Anolis sagrei: one gene and its partners. The protein of the gene in region 2 interacts with the protein of the main gene of each other region in a pairwise test. Links are inferred from orthologs where the notes say so. Each region holds a gene or a part of one and is shown on either strand. Other genes may lie near its edges.

Evidence for each region. The genes of interacting proteins can lie anywhere in the genome.
Region 1: the proteins of WWP2 (region 2) and ARRDC3 interact in binary tests that used the Homo sapiens proteins (3 or more experiments, as listed by UniProt). The link is inferred for Anolis sagrei from reciprocal best matches to the Homo sapiens genes WWP2 and ARRDC3.
Region 3: the proteins of WWP2 (region 2) and ATN1 interact in a two-hybrid assay, tested with the Homo sapiens proteins (2 studies listed by BioGRID and IntAct). The link is inferred for Anolis sagrei from reciprocal best matches to the Homo sapiens genes WWP2 and ATN1.

What each region holds. Positions count from the first base shown.
Region 1 is NC_090022.1:255,830,309-255,837,451, reverse strand, and holds the start of ARRDC3 (arrestin domain-containing protein 3), read right to left. Parts: upstream 3,096-7,143; 5' UTR 2,825-3,095; coding exon 2,545-2,824; intron 1-2,544. UniProt on the Homo sapiens protein: Adapter protein that plays a role in regulating cell-surface expression of adrenergic receptors and probably also other G protein-coupled receptors.
Region 2 is NC_090028.1:28,882,691-28,890,088, forward strand, and holds the start of WWP2 (NEDD4-like E3 ubiquitin-protein ligase WWP2), read left to right. Parts: upstream 1-4,307; 5' UTR 4,308-4,383; intron 4,384-7,398. Other genes in the region: RNA-binding protein NOB1, read right to left, coding at 277-410, 1,415-1,547, 4,136-4,198. UniProt on the Homo sapiens protein: E3 ubiquitin-protein ligase which accepts ubiquitin from an E2 ubiquitin-conjugating enzyme in the form of a thioester and then directly transfers the ubiquitin to targeted substrates.
Region 3 is NC_090022.1:198,147,709-198,155,425, reverse strand, and holds the start of ATN1 (atrophin-1), read right to left. Parts: upstream 3,096-7,717; 5' UTR 3,073-3,095; intron 3,000-3,072; exon of another isoform or gene 2,794-2,999; intron 1-2,793. UniProt on the Homo sapiens protein: Transcriptional corepressor. Recruits NR2E1 to repress transcription. Promotes vascular smooth cell (VSMC) migration and orientation. Corepressor of MTG8 transcriptional repression.

The DNA.
Region 1 (7,143 bases), on a different chromosome or scaffold from region 2:
GGCTTATCCCCAATGTCCCGAAAAGGGGAAAAGTCGCCTCTTTTACTACTAACGCCTGTCTCCTACCAGGATTTTGGACATTGTCTTTTGCACCTTTTAGTTTCTGAATAAGTGCCTCTTGAAAATTGCAAATACCCGGGGAAGAATGTGCACTTTGAATAGCAAGATTAAAAAAAATGCCATTTAATCTCAATGCAGACATTGCCTTCTTCCATCTTTTGGCAAAAAGGAAGCTGAAAAGACTTGCCTCGAAAGCAAGGGAATGGCTAATTTGCAACTTGCTTATTTTAACAAAAAAGGCTTCTATTAAATTCTCATATATGCAGTAAATCTGCATAAATATAGATAAGTGTGTGTATATGTGTGTGAAAGGGAGAGAAATTATTTATAGAGAAAGGGGGATAGAGAAAAATGTGGTCTATATATATCTACACATATGGAGAAGATATGTATATACATGTATGTAAATATATGTTCATATATATGTGTGTGAGGATATATATCTCCTCTCTCTTTCTTTCTCTCGCTCTCTCTATATATAAAAAGGGCAAGCCACAATTACATAACCGGTTTCCCCATTTTCTTGTGCTAGGAATTAAGTCATCGCCACCACCTGACACGCCTGCAGCCAATGGGCTTTGGAGGAGCAGGCGCAGCCCCCTCCCTTCTCCCCAGGACTGGTCCCAAACAGGATTGAACCGCTTTGAACAAAGGGTGGAAACTTCAGAAAAACAACCTTAGACTCTCCTAGACTTCCACATTGGGTGCCATAGCAATCTACAGATTAAACAGTCAGAAGCATAGGGAACCCCTTTGGGGAGGTTTGTTCCATTTTTGACTCCCTTGGCTAATATCAGGCATCCTTTGCAGAGCTCTAGGGGGGAGCTTTCCATTGACTGCCCCAACTTAGAAAGGATGCTGTTAATAATGCAATTATTGATCATATTCAATGGGGGGGGGGGTCCCCCTCCTTCACTTCAAAACCCAATTATCCATCCGCATTTGTAGGAAAAATATTCCGAAACAACGTTTTCCCCACAACTTTGTTGAGTTTAAAAGGGAATGCAAGAGGTACACGTGGGGTGCTGAAAGCAAGTGTCAAAACGCACCACGGGGAACCTATTTCTCGCCCAGCAACCCTCTCCAAAGGACATCACCCACAGAAGCCCCATAAGTGATCTTAATAAGGCACCTTGATATAGAGGGAGGGGAGGGGGTCACCATATAGGTACCTTGATATAGGGAGAAATAGTTTAAAAGCAAAGCATTAAGAGAAATTCCTCACTAACTGGATGCACAGGTGAAAGTATCCCTTTTGGAAAGACAGTGGGATTTTTTTTTTTTTTTAAAAAGTCTTCCCTTTGCAGATGGTAATCAGGTGGTCTTTACAATCTATTTACGTCTTCTAGGGTTTTTTTTTTAGCATGCATCCTAAACTCATTTATTGGGGGAATTGGTATTATTGTATTCAATGGGTCCTATCTCAGATGCAAAATCAAGGCGTAATAAGAGAAAATCCTCACCAACTGAGTGTCCCTATTGGAAAATATAAAAAAGTCTTTTGCAGATGGGAACAAGATGGTCTTTTAAGTGTTGTAGGTTTAAATGGCTACATCCCAATCTCAAGTATTGAGGTGAATGGGTGCCAATGCACTCAAATGGATGCTATTTTCCAGTAACCATGTTTGGTTTTTTCAATACCTCCACATCCCATGGCTATAAAGCTAAACTTGCTTGCTGGGGGAAAGAATGGGTGCCATTGCACTCAATAAGTCGCATTTTACAATAACCATATTTTGTTTTTCAATGCCTCTATATCCCAAGGCTTTAATGCTAAACTCACTTGCTGGGGAAAGAATGGGTGCCATTGCACTCAAATGGGTCCTATTTTCCAGGAATCATATTTGGTTTTTAAATGCCTCTACATCCCAAAGCTATAATGCTAAACTCACTCACTGGGTGCCATTGCTCTCAATTGGGTCCTTTTTACAGGAACCATGTTTGGTTTTTAAATATCTCCAAGGCTATAATGCTAAAGTCACTGACTGGGGGGAAGAATGGGTGCCATTGCTCTCAATTGGGTCCTATTTCTGAGTAACCCATCTTTTGGGTGAAAGTGTCCCTTTTTAGGAGAGACTGGAAAATATGAAGTCTTTCTTCCCTTTGCAGATGGTAATAATCACCACCCATTTAGGTCCAACTCTATTTAAATAGCTATGCACCCCAAGGTTATAATACTGAAGTCACTTAAATGGAGAGGAATGGTGTCAATGCACTCACTGGATGCAAATGGAGGCTAAGTCTTCCTGGGAATATAAAATACTTCTTTTTGCAGTGGATGATGGTCTTTGCAATCCATTTAGGTTGATTCGGTTTAAATAGCTATGCACCCCAAGGCTGCAACGCCAAACTCTTACTGGTCCTATTGCCCAGTAACCATCTTTGAAAACCAACCCAGAAAGCAACATGAAACAGATGGGGGAAATAAATAAATAAAATAATAATAATCAAAGAGAGGAATGAATGGGGCAAAGCCAGGCTCACCTCTTTCGTGCCCGATCAAGATATCCTTGTGGTTGAAATACTCGACTTCTTCCGTGTAGTTTTGCGTGTAGGCAGTGTTGGATCCCGCATTTCTCGACTCGGTCCAGCGGACTTTGGCGTGTCCCCTGGCGTGGATCTTTAAGGATTTCACCCGGATTTCCCCCGTGACTTCCAAATTCACCCTTCCTGAGACTGTGTCCCCGCTGGAATAGACGGGGACGTTGCTGTCATTCAGACAGTCGAAGCTGATGGTCAAACTCTTCACCTTCCCCAGCACCATGTTGAAAGTATTATTATTATTTTTTTGTTGATAGCAAAGTCTATAAAAATATATTCTTAGGAGAAAAAAAGGAAGGGAGAGTCAAGATCTCATATAGAAAAAAAATATGAGACTTTCCCCTTGACGCTGATCTGTATTGCTCTGCGAAAAACAGGCAGGACCAGCGTGGTTCTTCTCTAGGAGCGCTTCATTGGGGCTCCTGCAAAGGGACGCTGCAGCTCGGTTGGTCTCCTTACAAAGACGAAAGCCCAGCCGCTGCCACCTCACTTTAAGGAGAGCTTTGTGAAAAACAACCCCACTGCGCAGGCGCGGGCCTGCCTTGGCTCTCCCCCGCCTCCTCTCATGCTGAAGGTGTGTTGCAGAAGCAAGAGAGAGCCCGACTCGGCTGTTGCTGGAGAGCAACAAGACAAGCTGCTTCCTTGCTTGCTACCCCAACTTCTAGGATTTTTTTTTCCTTTTCCTCTTTAGGAGCAAGCCCCTTTTGCATTCCTTTTTGAATTAAAACTTGTCCAGTACAAGTTTTAATTCTGACTTGGAATTAAAGTCTGACTTGGTCACGGTAGTCCACACTCTGGTTACATCCCCGTATAGACTACTGCAACACTCTCTACATGGGGTTGCCTTTGAAGACTGTTCGGAATCTTCAAATGGTCCAATGGGCAGGTTGTCTTCCTTGGAGACTGGGATGCGGAACAATGGCTTCAAACTACAAGAAAGGAGATTCCACCTGAACATGAGGAAGAACTTCCTGACTGTGTGAGCCGTTCAGCAGTGGAACTCTCTGCCCCGGAGTGTGGTGGAGGCTCCTTCTTTGGAAGCTTTCAAACAGAGGCTGAATGGCCATCTGTCAGGGGTGCTTTGAATGCAATATTCCTGCTTCTTAGCAGGTGGTTGGACTGGATGGCCCATGAGGTCTCTTCCAACTATGATTCTAGGAGCGGCGCTCAGGGAGCACACAACTCCTCTGTTGCACCAGCTCCACTGGCTGCCAGTCGGCTACTGAGCACAATTCAAAGTGCTGACTTTAGCCTATAAAGCCCTAAACTAGGGGTTCTCAACCTTGGGTTCCCAGAAGTTTTTGGCCTTCAACTCCCAGAAAGCCTAACAGCTGATAAACTGGCTGGGATTTCTGGGAATTGTAGGCCAAAACATCTGGGGACCCCAGGTTGAGAACCACTGCCCTAAACGATTCTGGCTCAGCTTATCTGTCCAAACGTATCTCTCCTTATGAAACATCTAGGAATTTAAGATCTTCTGGGGAGGCCCTGCTCTCAGTCTCGCCTTCTTCACAGATTCGGTTGGCGGGAACAAGAGACAAGGCCTTTTCAGCAGTGGCCCCTTGTCTGTGGAACGCCCTCACTAGGGACATTAGATCGCCCCCCCCCCCTCTCTTAACATTTCGCAAAAAATCAAAACCTGGCTTTTTTCATCAGGCTTTCCCAAATGCTGTGTAGCAGACAAACCCTGATCTCGGAATGACTGGACAACCCGATTAGGTAATGATTTTGGTAATGAGATGCAGAGGATCTATGTTTTTATGGGGTTTATTATTTACTGAATGTTATTGATGTTAAATGTTTTAATTGTTTTTATGTTATTGTGGGCATCGAATGGTGCCGTTTTTAAACTGCCCTGAGTTGCCCTCAGGCTGAGAATGGCGGTATATAAATATAGTAAATAAATAAATAATAAATAACATCCTCAGCAGAAAGAGCACTGCTTGCAAAAGGCATACTCTCCTCAGCTCTCATGGCTCAAGTGCAGTATGTGTGAAAAAGATCTTGGAGTCCTCATAGACAACAAGTTAAACGTGAGCCAACAATGTGAGGCAGCAGCAAAAAAATCCAATGGGATTTTGGCCTGCATCAACAGGAATATAGTGTCTAGATCCAAGGACGTCATGTTATCCCTCTACTCTGCCTTGATCAGACCACACGTGGACCATTGTGTCCAATTCTGGACACCAGAATTGAAGAGAGATATCGACAAGCTGGAATGTGTCCAGAGGAGGGCGACTAAAATGATCAAGGGTCTGGAGAACAAGCCCTATGAGGAGCGGCTTAAGGGGCTGGGCATGTTTAGCCTGAAGAAGAGAAGGCTGAGAGGACACATGATAGCCGTGTATAAATATGTAAGAGAAAGCCATGGGGAGGAGGGAGCGAACTTGATTTCTGCTGCCCTGGAGACTAGGATGTGGAACAATGGCTTCAAACTACAAAAAAGGAGATTCCATCTGAACATTAGGATGAACTTCCTGTGTGTGAGAGCTGTTCAGCAGTGGAACTCTCTGCCCCAGAGTATGGTAGAGGCTCCTTCTTTGGAAGTTTTTAAAGATTCTATGAAAGGCATACCTCTAGCCCAGTGTTTCTCAACCTAGGGGTCATGACCCCTGTGGGGGGGGGGGAGAGATTGCGAAGGGGGTTTCAGAGGAGTCACTAAAGATAATCAGAAAACATATATTTCTGATGGTCTTAGGAACCCTTTTGGGAGAGAAGGCTGGAGATTTCTCCACCTGTCCTTATCTTCCTTTTTGGTGTTGGTGAACTACAACTCCCAGAATTCAAAAACAGCCTCTCCCCCATCCCCACAGTATTCAATGTTAGCATGTAGGTAGTGTGCCAAGTTTGGTGCAGATACATTGTGGCAGCGTTCAGAGTGCTCTTTGATTGTAGGTGAACTATAAATTCCAGCAACTACAATTCCCAAATGTCAAGGTCTATTTTCCCCAAATTCCGCCAGTGTTGACATTTGGGCATATTGAATATTTGTGCCAAGTTTGGTCCATATCCATCATTGTTTAGAGTTCACAGTGCTCTCTGGATGTAGGTGAACTACAACTCCAAAACTCAAGGACAATGCGCCACCAAACCCTTCCAGTATTTTCTGTTGATCATGGGAGTTTTGTTTGCCAAGATTGGTTCAGTTCCATCATTGGTGGAGTTCAGAATGCTCTTTGATTGTAGGTTAATTATAAGTCCCAGCAACTACAACTCCCAAATGACAAAATCAATCCCTGCACAACTCCAGTTGGGCATTTGTGCAAAATTTGGTCCAGTGAATGAAAAATCATCCTGTATATCAGATATTTATATTACAATTATATTATATTACCAAACAGTAGCAAAATTACAGTTATGAAGTAGCAACAAAAATAATTTTATGGTTGGGGATTACCACAACTTGAGGAACTGTACTAAGGGGTCGCACCATTAGGAAGGTTGAGAACTACTGCTTTAGCCCAAACAAAGCTGAAATGGAGTTTGAAAGGAAGGCTTGTTAAGGGCTGTCCTTGTCTTTAAAAAAATATTTTTATTAGAGTTTCAGAAATCTCATTTAAACCCAACAAATTAAATGCACACACATACACACATACCAAAGACGCATCAACACTGTAGAATTAATCCACTTTGACCCCGTCCAAACTGCCATGGCTCAATGCTATGAAATTCTAGGACTTGTAGATTAGTGACACACTGGGCAGAGAAGGTTCAAGCCCTTGTAAAACTACAACTCTTAGGTGTCCTTAGCATTGAGCAGTCAAACTACATTAATTTTACAATGTAGATGCAACTCTTACTGCTATAGCTCAGTGATATGGAATCTGGGTTTTGTAGATTGATGGTAAAAATGGTTTTAAACAGTGTATTTTAATATTGAGACAAATGTTTTTAATGTTTATGTATGCATATAATGAATTCTTGTCCTGGCATTGAATGCTTGCTGTATATATGCTGTGCTCCGCTCTGAATCCCCTTCGGGGTGAGAAGGGTGGAATATAATTTTTTAAAATAAATAAATAAAGTAAAGGTTTCCCCTGACATTAAGTCCAGTCGTGTCCAACTCTGGGGGTTGGTGTTCATCTCCATTTCTGTGTCGAAGAGCTGGCGTTGTCCATAGACACCTCCAATGTTATGTGGCCGGTATGACTGCATGGAGCACCGTTACTTTCCTGCTGGAGTGGTACGTATTGATCTACTCACATTTGGATGTTTTCAAATCGCTAGGTTGGCAGAAGCTGAGGCTGACAGCGGGAGCTCACCCCGCTCCCCGTATTTGAACCTGCGACCTTTCTATTAGCAATTTCAGCAGCGCTGTGCTTTAACTCACTGTAGCACTGTAGACTAAATACCTCTTTGGCAGAGGAGGCTCAAGGCCTTGTAAAACTACAACTTCCATACTTCCATAACATTGAGCCATGGCAGTTAAAGTGGGGTCAAACTGCATTCATTCTACATCATAAGATAAATAGAAGAGTCAAAATAACCCTGTAGCATTCCCAACCAATTATCACAGAATCATAGAGTTGGAAGAGACCTCGT
Region 2 (7,398 bases):
AAAGGTCACTGGCAAACCAAAGAGATGTACCCTGATATTCAGTATGTTTCATTTATAATTATAATAATAAGAATACTCTGCCTCTCCTTGCAGCTCAAGGCAGAATACAACACAGTTAAAACACAACACTATCAAAATACATATAATATTATCATTTGCAAGAAAAGTAAAAATACTTTTGGGGGGTCATCTAAAAAACAGGTTAATTGGAGTATAAATGTGCATTTTGCACACTGAGGAGGCAAGCATAGATATGAAAGCGTCTGCTTCTCCCACCTTCTGCTCAGGTTCCGTCTTCAGGTGAACAATACCAACATTCTCAGCTTCCAGCTGGTAAGTCAAAGCCAGAACCTTTAAGTCTGTAGCCGAAAGGCTGGGATAGTCACCCGTCTTCTTGGAAAACTCGGTCACTAAAGAAAGGGAGAGAAAATGGCATTCCGTCATTGAATCCATATACAGAGCAGTAGTTTGATAGTCCCATGCTTTCCAGCCAAAAGGCCAAGGAAGAAGAGAAGAGGCTAACGATGCTTGCTCAGGGATATGGCCCTATCTCTCTCTTTGGGAATTATCAAAATAAATATTTATGACTTGAGCTACAGTCAATGCGGAGGCTTGTGTAACAGAAAACACATGACCAAAGTTGTGCCCAATAAAACCAAGGTAGCAGAAAATGCAGCATACAGAACTTGCCAAGGCCAAAAAGGAACTTTTAGAGACTAGTATCTTATATAAGGAAGTTATGGCTGCCCCAAATGAGCAAGATTTCTGAATGACTGAGGCTCTAGAGGCCACCTGTTTGCCAAGAGTCCAAATAAGCGGCCTCCAGAGGATTTGGGATGCAATCCCTGTACCTTTATGCATCGATACCTTGATTTAAGAGTCTAATTCGTTCCATGACAATACAAAGTTGTGGCAAAGAAGCCAAAGCACCAAGTAAAGAGGCAGAAGCATCCTTTTCTTCTTCCTCCTCATTCCACCCACCTTCCCTCCCTCTCACTCTTTATGAAGCCAAACAGATCAGGAATTAAAATTTATTAAAAACACACAAAATCAACAAACCCAAAGTTCCTCAAAGTGGACAAGAGCAAAGCGGATAGCAATCTCCCAAAGCAGACAGACAGAGCAAGAAGGTTGCTCCCTTGAAGCCCTAAAGCCCTGAACTCTTGCGTTAGCACTTCCTCTGGTGCTGGCTCTTAACTCAAAATGCTGCTTGTATGTCAAAGCAAACACAGGCCAATTGACAGTTCTTAACTCAATATGCTCTCAACTCAATTGACAGTTCTTAACTCAAAATGTTCTCAACTTGGGACACTCTTAAGCCAAGGTTCCACTGCATAAGTCTTGTATTCCAAACATCCTTCAAGATGGATGGCAATCTGGGAGCAAAAGCAGTAGGTCTGCAAGTGGGGCTTACCCAGGCGGATGTATTCAGGGAAGGGCTGTTTGAAGTTGAGCTGATAAGGAAGGACTGCCAGGCGACGCTTGGTCTCCTTGTCCCGAATCTCAGCCACCACCTCCCGCACAGTGTAGACGTTTTGGCCGATGTCCTGCACAGAGAGAGGGAAAGGGTTAGGGGGGTACCGCCGAGGAAGGCTCCACCCAAAAACATCCCAGAAAAGCAAACTCTTTAGGATTCCCAAGTGGTCTATAATGTCCCACTAGAAGTGGAAAGGATCACCAAAGACCATCAACTCCCTTCTTTCTGCTAGGCAGGGAGGCACGATCCAAGCCCCCTGAGAGATGGACATCCAGCCTCTGTTTAAAGCCCCCAGGAGAAGGAAAAAGACTCAGCCAGGCTCCCCGACAGTCTGTATCCTATGGGGAGGGGTCCCCAAAAGGGCCACCCAGTTCTTGTGCCACGATTGGGCTTTATCTGCTGCTGAATCCCAGCATTGGCTCACACTCAGCTCATGGTAGAATCACAGAACCCTAAAGCTGGAAGGAATCCTCAAAGGTCATCCAACCCCTTCTTTTTGCTAGCCTGGAAGACACAATCAAAGCACTTCCGCAGCCCCTAAGTCAAAACCTCCAGCAAAGGAAGGAGACTCCACTGGACTCCCAGGCAGTCGGTATGCTGCCATTGAATGGTTCTAAACATCAGAAAGTTCATCTTTAGGTTTCAATGGAATCTCTTTCCTTGCAGTTTGAATAATAGTAATAATAATAATAATAATAATAATATGTCAGTAAAATAGTTTTAATTTGGCTCAAGGTGGGTTACAGGATTACTAAAACATAAACAAGCATATAATAATTTTAAAACATTATATAAAATAACATACCTCTATAAAATATGTTTTAAAACACACAAAACAAAAACCAAGAATTCAGTAGAATTTAAAATTCACAATTAAAACTGGGTAGGCCTGCTGGAAGAGATAGTTCTTCATTTGTATCTTTAATTCCGACAGCTGATCCAGCTGTCAGGGCTCTACTGGCAGGTTATTCCAGTCAGGTTTTGGCTAGTGGAGCTACCACCTCCCAGAGGAACAAAGTAAGTGGGACGGATTGTATGGGAGAAGGCAATCCTTTAGGTAACCTGAACCCAATGGGATTTTGGCCTGCATCAATAGCAGTATAGTGTCTAGATCTAGGGAAGTCATGCTCCCCCTCTATTCTGCCTTGGTTAGATCACACCTGGAATATTGTGTCCAATTCTGGGCACCACAATTGAAGAGAGATATTGAAAAGCTGGAATGTGTCCAGAGGAGGGTGCCTAAAATGATCAAGGGTCTGGGGAACAAGCCCTATGAGGAGCAGCTTAAAGAGCTGAAGAAGAGAGGGCTGAGAGGAGACATGATAGTCATGCATCAAGTATCTGAGAGGAAGTCATAGGGAAGTCATAGGGAAGAGGGAGCAAACTTGTTTTCTGCTGCCCTGGAGACTAGGACGTGGAACAATGGCTTCAAACTACAAGAAAGGCGATTCCATCTGAACATGAGGAAGAACTTCCTGACTGTGAGAGCTGTTCAGCAGTGGAACTCTCTGCCCTGGAGTGTGGTGGAGGCTCCTTCTTTGAAAGCTTTTAAGCAGAGGATAGATGGCCAACTGTCAGAGGTGCTTTGAATGCAATTTTCCTGCTTTTTGGCAGAATTGGGTTGGACTGGATGGCCCATGAGGTCTCTTCCAACTCTAGGATTCTATGATCCCCAGATGAGGACCCTTGATGGCAAGCACACCTATTTCAATATGTTTTCCTCATGTTGCTGTTGTTGTTCATTCATTCAGTCGTCTCCGACTCTTCGTGACCTCATGGACCAGCCCATGCCAGAGCTCCCTGTCGGCCGTCACCACCCCCAGCTCCTTCAAGGTCAGTCCAGTCACTTCAAGGATGCCATCCATCCATCTTGCCCTTGGTCGGCCCCTCTTCCTTTTGCCTTCCACTTTCCCCAGCATAATTGTCTTCTCTAGGCTTTGCTGTCTCCTCATAATGTGGCCAAAGAACTTCAACTTTGTCTCTAGTATCCTTCCCTCCAGTGAGCAGCTGGGCTTTATTTCCTGGAGGATGGACTGGTTGGATCTTCTCGCAGTCCAAGGCACTCTCAGAACTTTCCTCCAACACCACAGTTCAAAAGCATCTCTCTTCCTTTGCTCAGCCTTCCCTAAGGTCCAGCTCTCACATCCATAGATGACTACAGGGAATACCATGGCTTTGATTAGGCGGATCTTTGTGGCCAGTCTGATGTCTCTACTCTTTACTATTTTACTGAGACTGGACATTGCTCTCCTCCCAAGAAGTAAGCGTCTTCTGATTTCCTGGCCACAGTCTGCATCTGCAGTAATCTTTGCACCTAGAAATACAAGGTCTGTCACGGCCTCCACATACAGCCTCATACAGCCCATTATATGCTCCAGGAATTCATTCCTTAGCTGAGGCTGCTTGTGAAGGCATGGAGAAATATATGTGGGCGTCACGAGCAAACTGCGAACCCAGGGAACAAGCCTTGCCTTCTCCTCTTCCAAATAAGGAAACATGGCTGCCGGGCCCCCTTCTCTCCTCCAAGGCAAACACTCCCTGCAGCTCCCTCAGCTCTTCCTGAGAGGAATTCCTGACTTCCAGGCCTCTGGCCCTTTTGGCGGCCCTTCTCTGGACGCCTCCCAGCTTAGAGCCCACCTGGAGGCCTGTGAGACCCACCTGGAGCGGGGCTGCCTTCAGAAAAGCCCCCGCGTCGGCCACAACGTGTTCCACCGGCGCCATCTTGCCCTCCTCTCCCGCGCAAGGCAGCCTGGGAAACGCAGGGCGCCGCTGATTGGTCCGCTTTGGCCTCTCTCGAACTTTGCCCCAGAAAGGCGGAGGGTCATGTGACGCCTCGCCTGCCTGTCACATGACCCACGACTTACAGGAGGCGGAAGTGGGAAGAGGAAGGAGCTCAGCCGCCGCCGGTAAGAGGAACAGCCTGTTGCCGTTAGTCTTGTTGTGGTTTGTGTGGCTGCTGTGAGGCTTCTTCCCCTTCCTCTCAAGGTCCCAGGCTTTGCTTGGGGTTGGGAGCTGAGGCGGGTCGGCCTTGGATGGGACTTGGAGGGGAGACCGGTGGGGAACGCCAGAGGAAGGAAATGAAGGGGGAAAGCGCCTTCTCGGGCTGCAGTTGCCAGAAGGGGCGACTGGGGGATTCTGGGAGTTGCAGTCCGAAAGGAAGACCCTTCCTCAAACCTAGAAGGCCTCCTTCTCTCTCTGACACAGGCCTGAGCCAACTTAGGCCCTCTATCCAGGTGTTTTGGACTTCAATTCCCATAATTCCTAATGGCCTCAGGCCCTTTCCTTTTCATTGCTTATTGACAGAACCCCAGCCATCACTTGCCCACTTCTGCTCCAGCCCTGGCTCTGATTCTGCCCAAAGGCCCTCTGGACCTCTGTGGATGACACAAACGAGCATGAGCCTCATCTGTCACACTCAGAGTGATGTTGAGAGTGATCCAGTGGGTGCTGATGGAAGAAGAGAATAGTTTAGAGAAATAAATAAATATAGAATCCTACCTATCCGACCGCATCTTTGCCTATGAACCCACCAGGACTTTGAGATCTTCCGGGGAGGCCCTGCGCTCGATCCCGCCTGCTTCTCAAGCACGGCTGGCGGGGATGAGAGATAGGGCCTTCTCGGTGGTGGCTCCTCAGCTGTGGAACGCCCTTCCTATGAACATTAGATTAGCACCATCTCTAATGGTATTCCGCAAAAAAGTGAAGACCTGGCTGTTTGAGCAGGCGTTCGAATAATTAGTGCAATGATTGGTTAATGAACACTGGAATGGAACAATGGATGACAAATCTGGAACATGTTTTTGATGACGAGACGACAGTGAATGGGTATTGTAGTAACTTTATTAATTATGTAATGTGTTACGCTGTGAACTGTTTTTATACTGTAGCACTGAATTTTTGCTGTTCGTATTTGTTGTGAACCGCTGTGAGTCACCTTCGGGCTGAGAACAGCGGTATATAAGTAAGGTAAATAAATAAATAATAAATAAATAATTAATGCTGGAGTTGGAAGGGACCCCCAAGGGCCATCCAGTCTGACCCTTTCATTCATAGATAGATAGATAGATAGATAGAATGGACCATCCAGTCTGACCCTTTCATTCATAGATAGATAGATAGATAGAATGGACCATCCAGTCTGACCCTTTCATTCATAGATAGATAGATAGAATGGGCCATCCAGTCTGACCCTTTCATTGATTGATAGATAGATAGATAGAATGGGCCATCCAGTCTGACCCTTTCATTCATAGATAGATAGATAGATAGATAGATAAAATGGGCCATCCAGTCTGACCCTTTCATTCATAGATAGATAGATAGATAGATAGAATGGGCCATCCAGTCTGACCCTTTCATTCATTGATAGATAGATAGATAGATAGATAGAATGGGCCATCCAGTCTGACCCTTTCATTCATTCATAGATAGATAGATAGATAGATAGAATGGGCCATCCAGTCTGACCCTTTCATTCATAGATAGATAGATAGATAGAATGGGCCATCCAGTCTAACCCTTTCATTCAAAGATAGATAGATAGATAGAATGGTCCATCCAGTCTGACCCTTTCATTCATAGATAGATAGATAGATAGATAGAATGAATGGGCCATCCAGTCTGACACTTTCATTCATAGATAGATAGAATGAATGGGCCATCCAGTCTGACCCAATCATTCATAGATAGATAGATAATTTAAGGTGCTGGTGTTATCCTACAAAGCCCTAAACGGTTCCGGCCCAAAATACCTTTCGGACCGCATCTCGGCCTATGAGCCCACGAGGACCTTGAGATCGTCCGGGGAGGCCCTTCTCTCGATCCCGCCTGCTTCACAGGCACGTCTGGCGGGGACGAGAGAGAGGGCCTTCTCGGTGGTGGCCCCCCGGCTGTGGAACACCCTCCCTGCTGACATCAGACAGGCGCCCTCCCTTATGTCCTTCCGTAAGAGCCTCAAGACATGGCTATTTGAGAAGGCATTTAACTGAGTGCTACAGTAACTGGAAATGACAACTGGAACGGAATATGGATTACGAGATTGGTTATGATTCTACTATAAGACGGAGCGGATTTTTTAGTGTAATTAGATAATTGTGTATTAGTGATATATTGTTTTTTGTCGTTATGGCTTATTGTAAATTGTCTTTTATATGTTGTACACCGCCGTGAGTCGCCCTAGGGCTGAGAACGGCGGTTAACAAATGCAGCAAATAAATAAATAAATAAATAGATAGAATCTTACAGTTGGAAGAGAATCGAGGGCTATCCAGTCCAATCCACTAAAAGACAGAAAGAAAGATACATATATAGAGGTCATAGAATCTTACAGTTGGAAGAGAACCCAGCACTATCCAGTCTACCCCTCTAAATCATAGGTCTCTTCCACACAACCATATAAACCAGAATATCTGCTTTGAACTGGGTTATCCGAATCCACACTGCCATATATTCTAGTTCAAAGCAGATAATGTGGGATTTTATTCAGCTATGTGGAAGGGACCCTAAGGGCCATCCAGTCCAACCCTATAAGTCAGTGGCTGCTAAACTGGCTGGGATTTTTGGGAGTTGTAGGCCATAACACCTGGGGACTCACAGGATGAGAACCACTGCTCTAAGTCATAGATCAATAGAATCCTAGAGTTGGAAGAGACCCAAAGGATCATCCAGTCCAACCCGACAGATGGCCCTCTAGCCTGTCCTTGAAAACCTTCAGAGAAGGTTTTTATGGAGATCCTCAGTGAGACTCATCAACTAGAGGGAACCAGCTAAGCCTTTTCCCACTGGTCTGACTGTTGTGGTTCTCTTTATTCAGTGGCAGTACATGCTGAAGAGTAACAAAAAGCAGGTGAACCCCCCAAAATGAGCTGGGTGTGTATGTACATGTTGACCTGTCCTTGCTCAGGTGCAGTGACCTTGGGCAG
Region 3 (7,717 bases), on a different chromosome or scaffold from region 2:
GGAAATACGCAGCCTGGAAGGGGGCTTTTGACCTGGAAGCACCCCAAGGCACACCTGCGGAACAAACCTGCGGATTCCAAATGATGCTTCATCTGACTACATATCCTGTACTTGGGACTTTTATCTCCTCGTTAGCTATGTCTCTAGCGCTCAGAAACTGGTTTCACTTTAGCTGAGAGTTTCTTATCTTTTTTTCTCGGAACCTGGCAGAACACTGAAGCCACTGTTCAGCTTTTCTGTTTTAACTAATCTCCTCCCAACTATCTATTTGCTTATTTATTTGTTTACTATATTTGTATACCGCCCTTCTCAGTCCTTAGGCGACTTAACAGGTGCCAAGCTGCTTTCAAGTTCCAAATCATGGGAACTCTCTGGTAGTAGTTCAGGGAGCACACCATCATCCCCACACCCTATAGGGATATTCTCATGGGAAACTACACTTTGAACAGGGATCTCCTGGTCATTCTCTGCGTCAATATCATAGACCAAACCATTGCTATCTTGAAACTCATTGACATCACTCCCCACATCCAAAGCGCCCTGATCCTGAAACTCAATCACAGGCTGAGCTCCAACAGAACATAACAATAAACACACACCCTATCAAACTCTAAAACAGTTAAAACATTAAAAACATCTGAGCAATTGAAACACATAGAGCAATAAAACAAATTAAAAACATATAAACATATAAAATGCAGAGTCTTGATTTCATGCTTATTCATAGTCATTATCCAAAATCCATAGTCATTATTCAGGCTGTTGAGGTTGAATTCCTTAATATTTTATTCTCCAAACGCCTGCATACAAAGCCAGGTCTTTAGCTTTTTTCTAAAGAACAGGAGGGATGGGGCCTGCCTGATGTCACTGGGGAGGGAGTTCCACAGCCAAGGGGCCATCACTGAATAGACTCTGTCTCTTGTTCCCACCAGTCTCACTTGCGAATGGGGTGGGACCGAGAGCAGGGCCTCCCCAGCAGATCTTAAAGCTCTAAATTGGCAGACAGAAGCCCCATGACCAACAAAAAGTGACTGGAGATCTTTGAGGAGATGTATAGAAGTTGCAGTTCACCTACATCCAGAGCACACTATGAACCCAAACAATAATTGACCTGGACCAAACTCGGCATGCCTACCCAATATGCCCAAATTTGAATACTTGTGGGTTTTGAGGGGAATTGGCCTGGACACTTTGGAGTTGTAGGTACTGGGATTTATAGTTCACTTGCAATCAATGAGCACCGAACTCCACCAAAGATGGAAATTGAACAAACATGGTACATAGAGGCCCCCATGGAGATCTTTGGGGGAAATCCTTCTTGATTTGAGGAAGTTGTAGTTCACCTATATCCAGAGAGCACTGTGAACCCAAACACCGATGGATCTGGACCAAACTTATACCTGATAAGCTGAAATTTGATTACTGGGGGTGGGGGAACCAACCTTCCTTTCTGGGAGTTGTAGTTCACATGCAACTAGCAAAACTGTGACCTAGACCAAACTTGGCACACAGAAACCCCATGACCAACTCAACAGACTGAAGGGACTTGAGGGGACTGACTCACCATAGTGAATTGTAGTTTACCCTACAGCCAGCGAGCACACTGAACCCCATCGATGATGCACCTAGAGCAGTGTTTCTCAACCTTCCTAATGCTGTAACCCCTTAATACAGCTCCTAATGTTGTGGTGACCCTGAACCATAAAATTATTTTCATTGCTACTTTATGCAATTTTGCTACTGTTATGAATCGTAATCATGATGTAAATATCTGATATGCAGGATGTATTTTCATTTACTGGACCAAATTTGGTACAAATACCCGATATGCCCAAATTTGAATACTGATTGGTTGATTTTGTCATTTAAGAGTTGTAGTTTCTGGGATTTATAGTTCACCTACAATCAGAGAATTGTGAACTCCAACAATGATGGAATTGAACCAGATTTGGCACACAGAATTCCCCTGACCAACATAAAATACTGGAAGCATTTGATGGGCAATGACCTTGAGTTTTGGAGTTGTAGTTCAGCTACATCCAGAGAGCTGGAGGAGGGCTTTTAGTAGGAGGATTTGCCGTCTGTTTCCAAAATGGAAGAGAAGGACAAGCAGAGAGATCTTCAGCCTTCTCTGCCAAAGGGGTTCCTAAAACCATCTGAAATATGTGTTTTCTGATGGTGTTTGGTGACCCCACTGAAACCTTCCTGGTGACCCCCCCCCCCCCCGGGGTCCCAACCCCCAGGTTGAGAAACACTTATCTAGAGCAAACTTGACCAACATAACAATTTTTTAAGTACTGATTGAATTTTTCGGGATTAACCTGGCATAATGTGAGTTGTAGTTCACCCACAACCTTATGCAATTTGTACAACTAAAAATTTGACATTTTCAAATAACCCAACCAGCGCCTGGTACCCAAGTTAATACATAATATTGTAAGGGAATTGCAGACAGTTTGAAAAAGCAATGCTCCCTCTTTTGATCATATTTTCCGATCAAACACGTTTTGCAGGTTTTTGTTTCTTTAAAACCTGCAAAACCTGTTTGACCAGAGTGGAAAGTGGGACAAAAGCAATATTTGCATACATTTCCATCGTGGGAAAATAAATATATTTGAAACCATTTTGAATTCTCTTAAAAACGGTTGTCTTTCCCTAGGCTTCTATGCTTTGCACTCCCTATTATCTTGGAAGCTGGAAAAACAATTGTGCTCAAAACTGCACCAAATGTTGTTCTAGGCAGGTATTAAGTATGCGACTACAGCAATGGGAAGGCATTTCTTTGCTCTGTACCTCAGTATAGCTCAGTCTCTTCCAAGCTGATGACTATCAGCCTCTCTGCTGGCACTCTTCAGGTTTGCCCCGCAGGCCCCAAACAGGCGGCCTTCCATGTAGGGCAGCATCCCCACTTCCCCCTCAGGTTTGCAAATTCCAAAGCGAGCCATGTATTGTTAACTCTTTCACCTTTTTCTGGTGCCATGCGCAAGGCCCTGTCCTTAGGTGCCTCTGCCCTCTAGTGGAAGGCACACCAGAAAGGGCGGCTGCAAACCTGCTCCCCTCTCAACCCCTTACCTGTTCAAGGGATTGCATTTTGGAGAGAGGAGTCTGAGAAAAGGAAATAAAATGGAGTTTTTATACAAAGGTCTCTGAACTACAGCTCCCAGAAAGCTCCTTGCTATTGTCTTCACAGAAACCAGAGAGCCAAACCGACTTTCCCACTGGACTGATGTCAAGGATGTCAGGAGCCACCGTCAGACTCCATATGGGGCCATGTGCGGTAGCAGCCCAGGATGCAGAATATGTATGAAAACACAGGATCTTATACATAAATAAGCAACGAAGATGCCACACTGTGGGCTGTGCCACTCTGGGCTTCACAATGATTCTTGGAAACAAAAATGAAAGTGGTGTTGTGCGGTTTCTGGGCTGTATGGCTGTGTTCTAGTAGCATTTTCTCTTGTGGCTGGCATCTTCAGAAGATCTGAAGCCACAGATATGGTTGAAATGTCATGAGAACATGTTGCTAGAACAGGGCCCTAAACCTGTCACGTTGCCAGGGCTCTACCTTATTTAGGTAGAGATTAATCAAACTATCAGTTTTATCAAACAGTTTAATTAAAACAGCACTTACTTGCTGGCTGTTTCAATAGACCAAAATATAAAACACAAAGATAGCACGCAGCTACAGAATAAACAAAAACTGATAGCAAAAATAACTTCGTAGTCAAAAGGGTCCAGTCCAATGGTCAAATGCCAGCAACATCCACCACCAAAATGCAACAGATACTTTTCTCCCAAAGATAAGTCTCAAAGTTAGCTCCTTAAATCCAGTAATACCCAGCTGCAACCCATCTCCTGCACACCTCCACTCGTAATTTCTTTTACCTGTAAACTGTTACTTATAAACTACTCAACCCTTTAGAACCAAGACTTACATTAATCCTTCCATCACCAACTGCCAGGTCTACCACCACCAACCACCATCAACTATGGAACATATGACAAAACCACACCACACTGCAGTGATTCTGGCCGTGAAAGCCTTCGAGTAAAGCGAAAGTCTTGGAAAAATCAATCAACTAGCTAGGTTGATTCAATGAACCAGCTAGGAATTTAAGATCTTCTGGGGAGGCTCTGCTCTTGATCGTGCCTTCATTGCAGGCGTGCCCAGTGGGGACGAGAGGCAGGGTCTTCTCAATGGTGGCTCCTCGGCTATGGAACTCCCTTAGATCAGCCCCCTCTCTACTGACATTCTGAAAAAAATTTAAAACCTGGCTTTTTGAACAAGCCTTTGAAAACGCAATGTAATGGATGAATATGGAACCCAGGAAAGAATGAACATGGTATGGCTTGACAATGTTTTTGGAAAATGAGCTAATAGGAAGTTACTGGTGTTTTATGCTTTTAATGCTTTTTACAGGGTTTTTATAATGTGTGTTAATTGGGTTGTTGTAGTTTTTTTGGGCTATATGGCCATGTTCTAGAAGCATTCTCTCCTGATGCATCTATGGCAAGCATCTGCATCTATGGCAAGCATCTTCAGAGGTTGTGAAGTCTCTGTGTTAATTGTTTTAAATTTTGTTTTAATTTTTTAATGTTCACTGTGGCATCGAATCGTGCCAGTGTAAGCTGCCTTGAGTCGCCTTCGGGCTGAGAAAGGCGGGATAGAAATGCAGCAAATAAAGAAAGAAAGAGATAAACATGCCGTGGGTCACTATAGGGATGCACATCTGTACTTCTAATGTCCTGGAGCCCTTGATCTCCCAAAAATGGAAATTTGCTTGAGTGTTTTCATTGCACATTGCTGAAGATTATGCCAAACCCTTTGCTGCATGAACATATTCAGTGACTGGTCTTTCTAGCTATAGGCAGTGCTGCCTCTCCTCTTGGAGGCAATGTATAGCCACACCATTGGCAGTCATCAATTATTACCATAGCCCTCTTATAAAACAACCTCTTGTAAGTATTGTTTGCTAAAGATGGAAGAAAATGCTTGTCTCTTGCCTATGGTTTGTAAAACTTTTGGTGTCTTATTGGTGCACATAATGTCAGGTCTCCATGTTCTCTGGGCACAGGACCCCCATGAAAGGGAAGAGGATGGCCTTACCACTAGGCAGCCTCAGTCAATCACTCTATCACTCTATCACTCTATCACTCTATCTATCTATCTATCTATCTATCTATCTATCTGTCGGTCAAAGTATGCATGCGTATCTGTTTGTCTGCCTGTAGCACAAAGCTATTGCTAATTGAAGTGGCCCCTTGTAGTGTCACTGCATTGGCTTTTGCTAGATGAGTGGCAATGCTCGTGCTTATGTACTTATTTATGTCTGTATATAAGTATCCCACAACCAGCCAACTTGTGTTGGCGCTATTGTAGCAATACAAGGGAAGTTCACCACTCCTCCCTAACTAACCATAAAAGGTGCATGTTTTGTTTATCCCACAATATTTTTGTCAGCTTCTGATACAGTTAGATACTTTTTATACCTGCTCCCCAGGTTGGTTTATTTTAACAAAGTGCAAAATTAAAAAGAACAGGAGCAAAATCTGTTGGAAATTGCAACTTTCTTCAAGCCTCCACTAGTTATTTGTTATGTATATAATTCAGATTGCTTAGTGTATTGTATATGTGTGTATTGGTATGCAGTTTTTTCCTTAACTCTATGTTGTGGGAGGGGCGGCAAACCATGTGATCAGATGTGGGATTGTTCAGGACTCAGACTCCATTTTAGAAACTGTATGATTTCAGATGCCATTAGAAGCAGAAGCCATTAGACTTTCAATGTAGAAAAAGTATACCTTAGAAGACTTTAGAAAAAGACAGCCTTTTAGACTCTCAGACCAGAGAGGTGCTTTAGACTATGGACTGTGATTATAAGAAAGATGCCCTGTGTTGTCTGCACAAACTACTTCAAACTCTATTTGTAACTGGATTGATGAGCAAAATAACTGTATGCTGAATACATGAAATCTGTGAGTAAACCAACTATGTTACTTTTAAAGAAGTCTGTTTATTTTGTCTTTTGAGAGCATGATTTAAAACCAAGATGTTTTAAGGGAGAGTAGATGTTTTTGGGCAACTGAAAGAACACTTCTAAAACTCTGCTATATATCATAGAATCATAGAGTTGCAAGAGACCTCGTGGGCCATCCAGTCCAGCCTTCTGCCAAGAAGCAGGAAAATTGCATTCAAAGCACCCCTGACAGATGGCTATCCAGCCTGTGTGTGTGTTTGTATGTGCATTGGAATATCTTTGTCCCAAACAGTTCAAAGAGATGTCTAGGTATATTGGTTTAACAGCTGAGAAACCTAATTGCTTTGCATGAATGCTGATTGATATTTATCACTAAGGACTCAAGCGAGTTTTTAACTATTCTCAGGGAGATTCCTGATTTTCCCAAAATGGTGGTGAATGCCATTTTCCAAAAATATTTTTTTTTAACCCGATAGATAGATAGATAGATAGATAGATAGATAGATATAGATATAGGTTTAAAAATATTTTTGGAAAATGGCATATATATATAGTAAGTTTGCATACAAATGTGTGTGTGTGTGTGTGTATATATATATATATATACACACACACACACATTTGTATGCAAACTTACTAAGTCCTATATACATATAGGACTTAGTAAGTTTGCATGCAAATGTATCTTGTGTCCTGTAGCAGAGTTGGTGGGTAGGTGTTTAAGATGTTCATTGAAGTCAGAACTACCTATGTACTCAGTACTTGTATACATGAGTACACAGGGTAGTTCTGACTTCAATGAAGCTTATGTGTTGGTAGATGTACCTGGTGGCGAACTATATGAAAATATAGAAAGTGAAGGAATAGTGTATAGCAGTTGCATTGCCCTTTTAGGTTTCCTCACAGCTCTCCTAAATGGTAGTCTTTATGCTCTTCGTTGTCTAGACCACTGCTTCTTAAGCTATGGGTCCTGACTCCAAATAGGGTTCCATAAGAGGTTGCAAAAATTTGGCAACAGAAAAAGGGTTTTGAGCACCACCCAGTGGATGGTTTAGACATTGACATGAATCTGTTAGCAACAACAGTGCAGTGTTCACAATGGACTCTGAAGGAAATACTTCGGCTTTTCTTCATAAAAAGGTAAATCAGCCTCTTTAGCAAGCCTTGCAAAAGCTGATTTATTATCAGTAAATGTTCGATTAGTATAACTATTTTGTATACTTATATACCTGTGATCATGTACAAATTTCTCTGATAGAAAGGGATCATGAGCAGAAGAACTTTAAGAAGCTCTGTCCTAGACCAGGTTTTGCAAATATTTTTAGTTGAGGCTTGGATTTTTCCCTATGAAGGTCACCTCTGGCTTTATTTTCCCTGTTCCTTGTTTCTCTAGTGTTTTATTTTAGCATTACTACAGGCTTTTTGTCATACTCTTACCTTATTCTTAGGAGCCCCCAGTGGCACAATGGGTTAAACCCCTGTGACAGCAGGACTAAAGACCAACAGGTTGGAGGTTCGTGGATGAGCTTCCTCTGTCAGCTCCAGCTCTCCATGTGGGGACATGAGAGAAGCCTCCCACAAGGATGGTAAAACATCAAAACATCCAGGTGTCCCCTGGGCAATGTTCTTGCAGATGGCCAATTATCTCACAACAGAGGCGACTTGCAGTTTCTCAAGTTGCTCCTGATGTGAAAACAAAAAAAAATTGAGGGGCTCTCCACATTTCCCATAGCTACTTT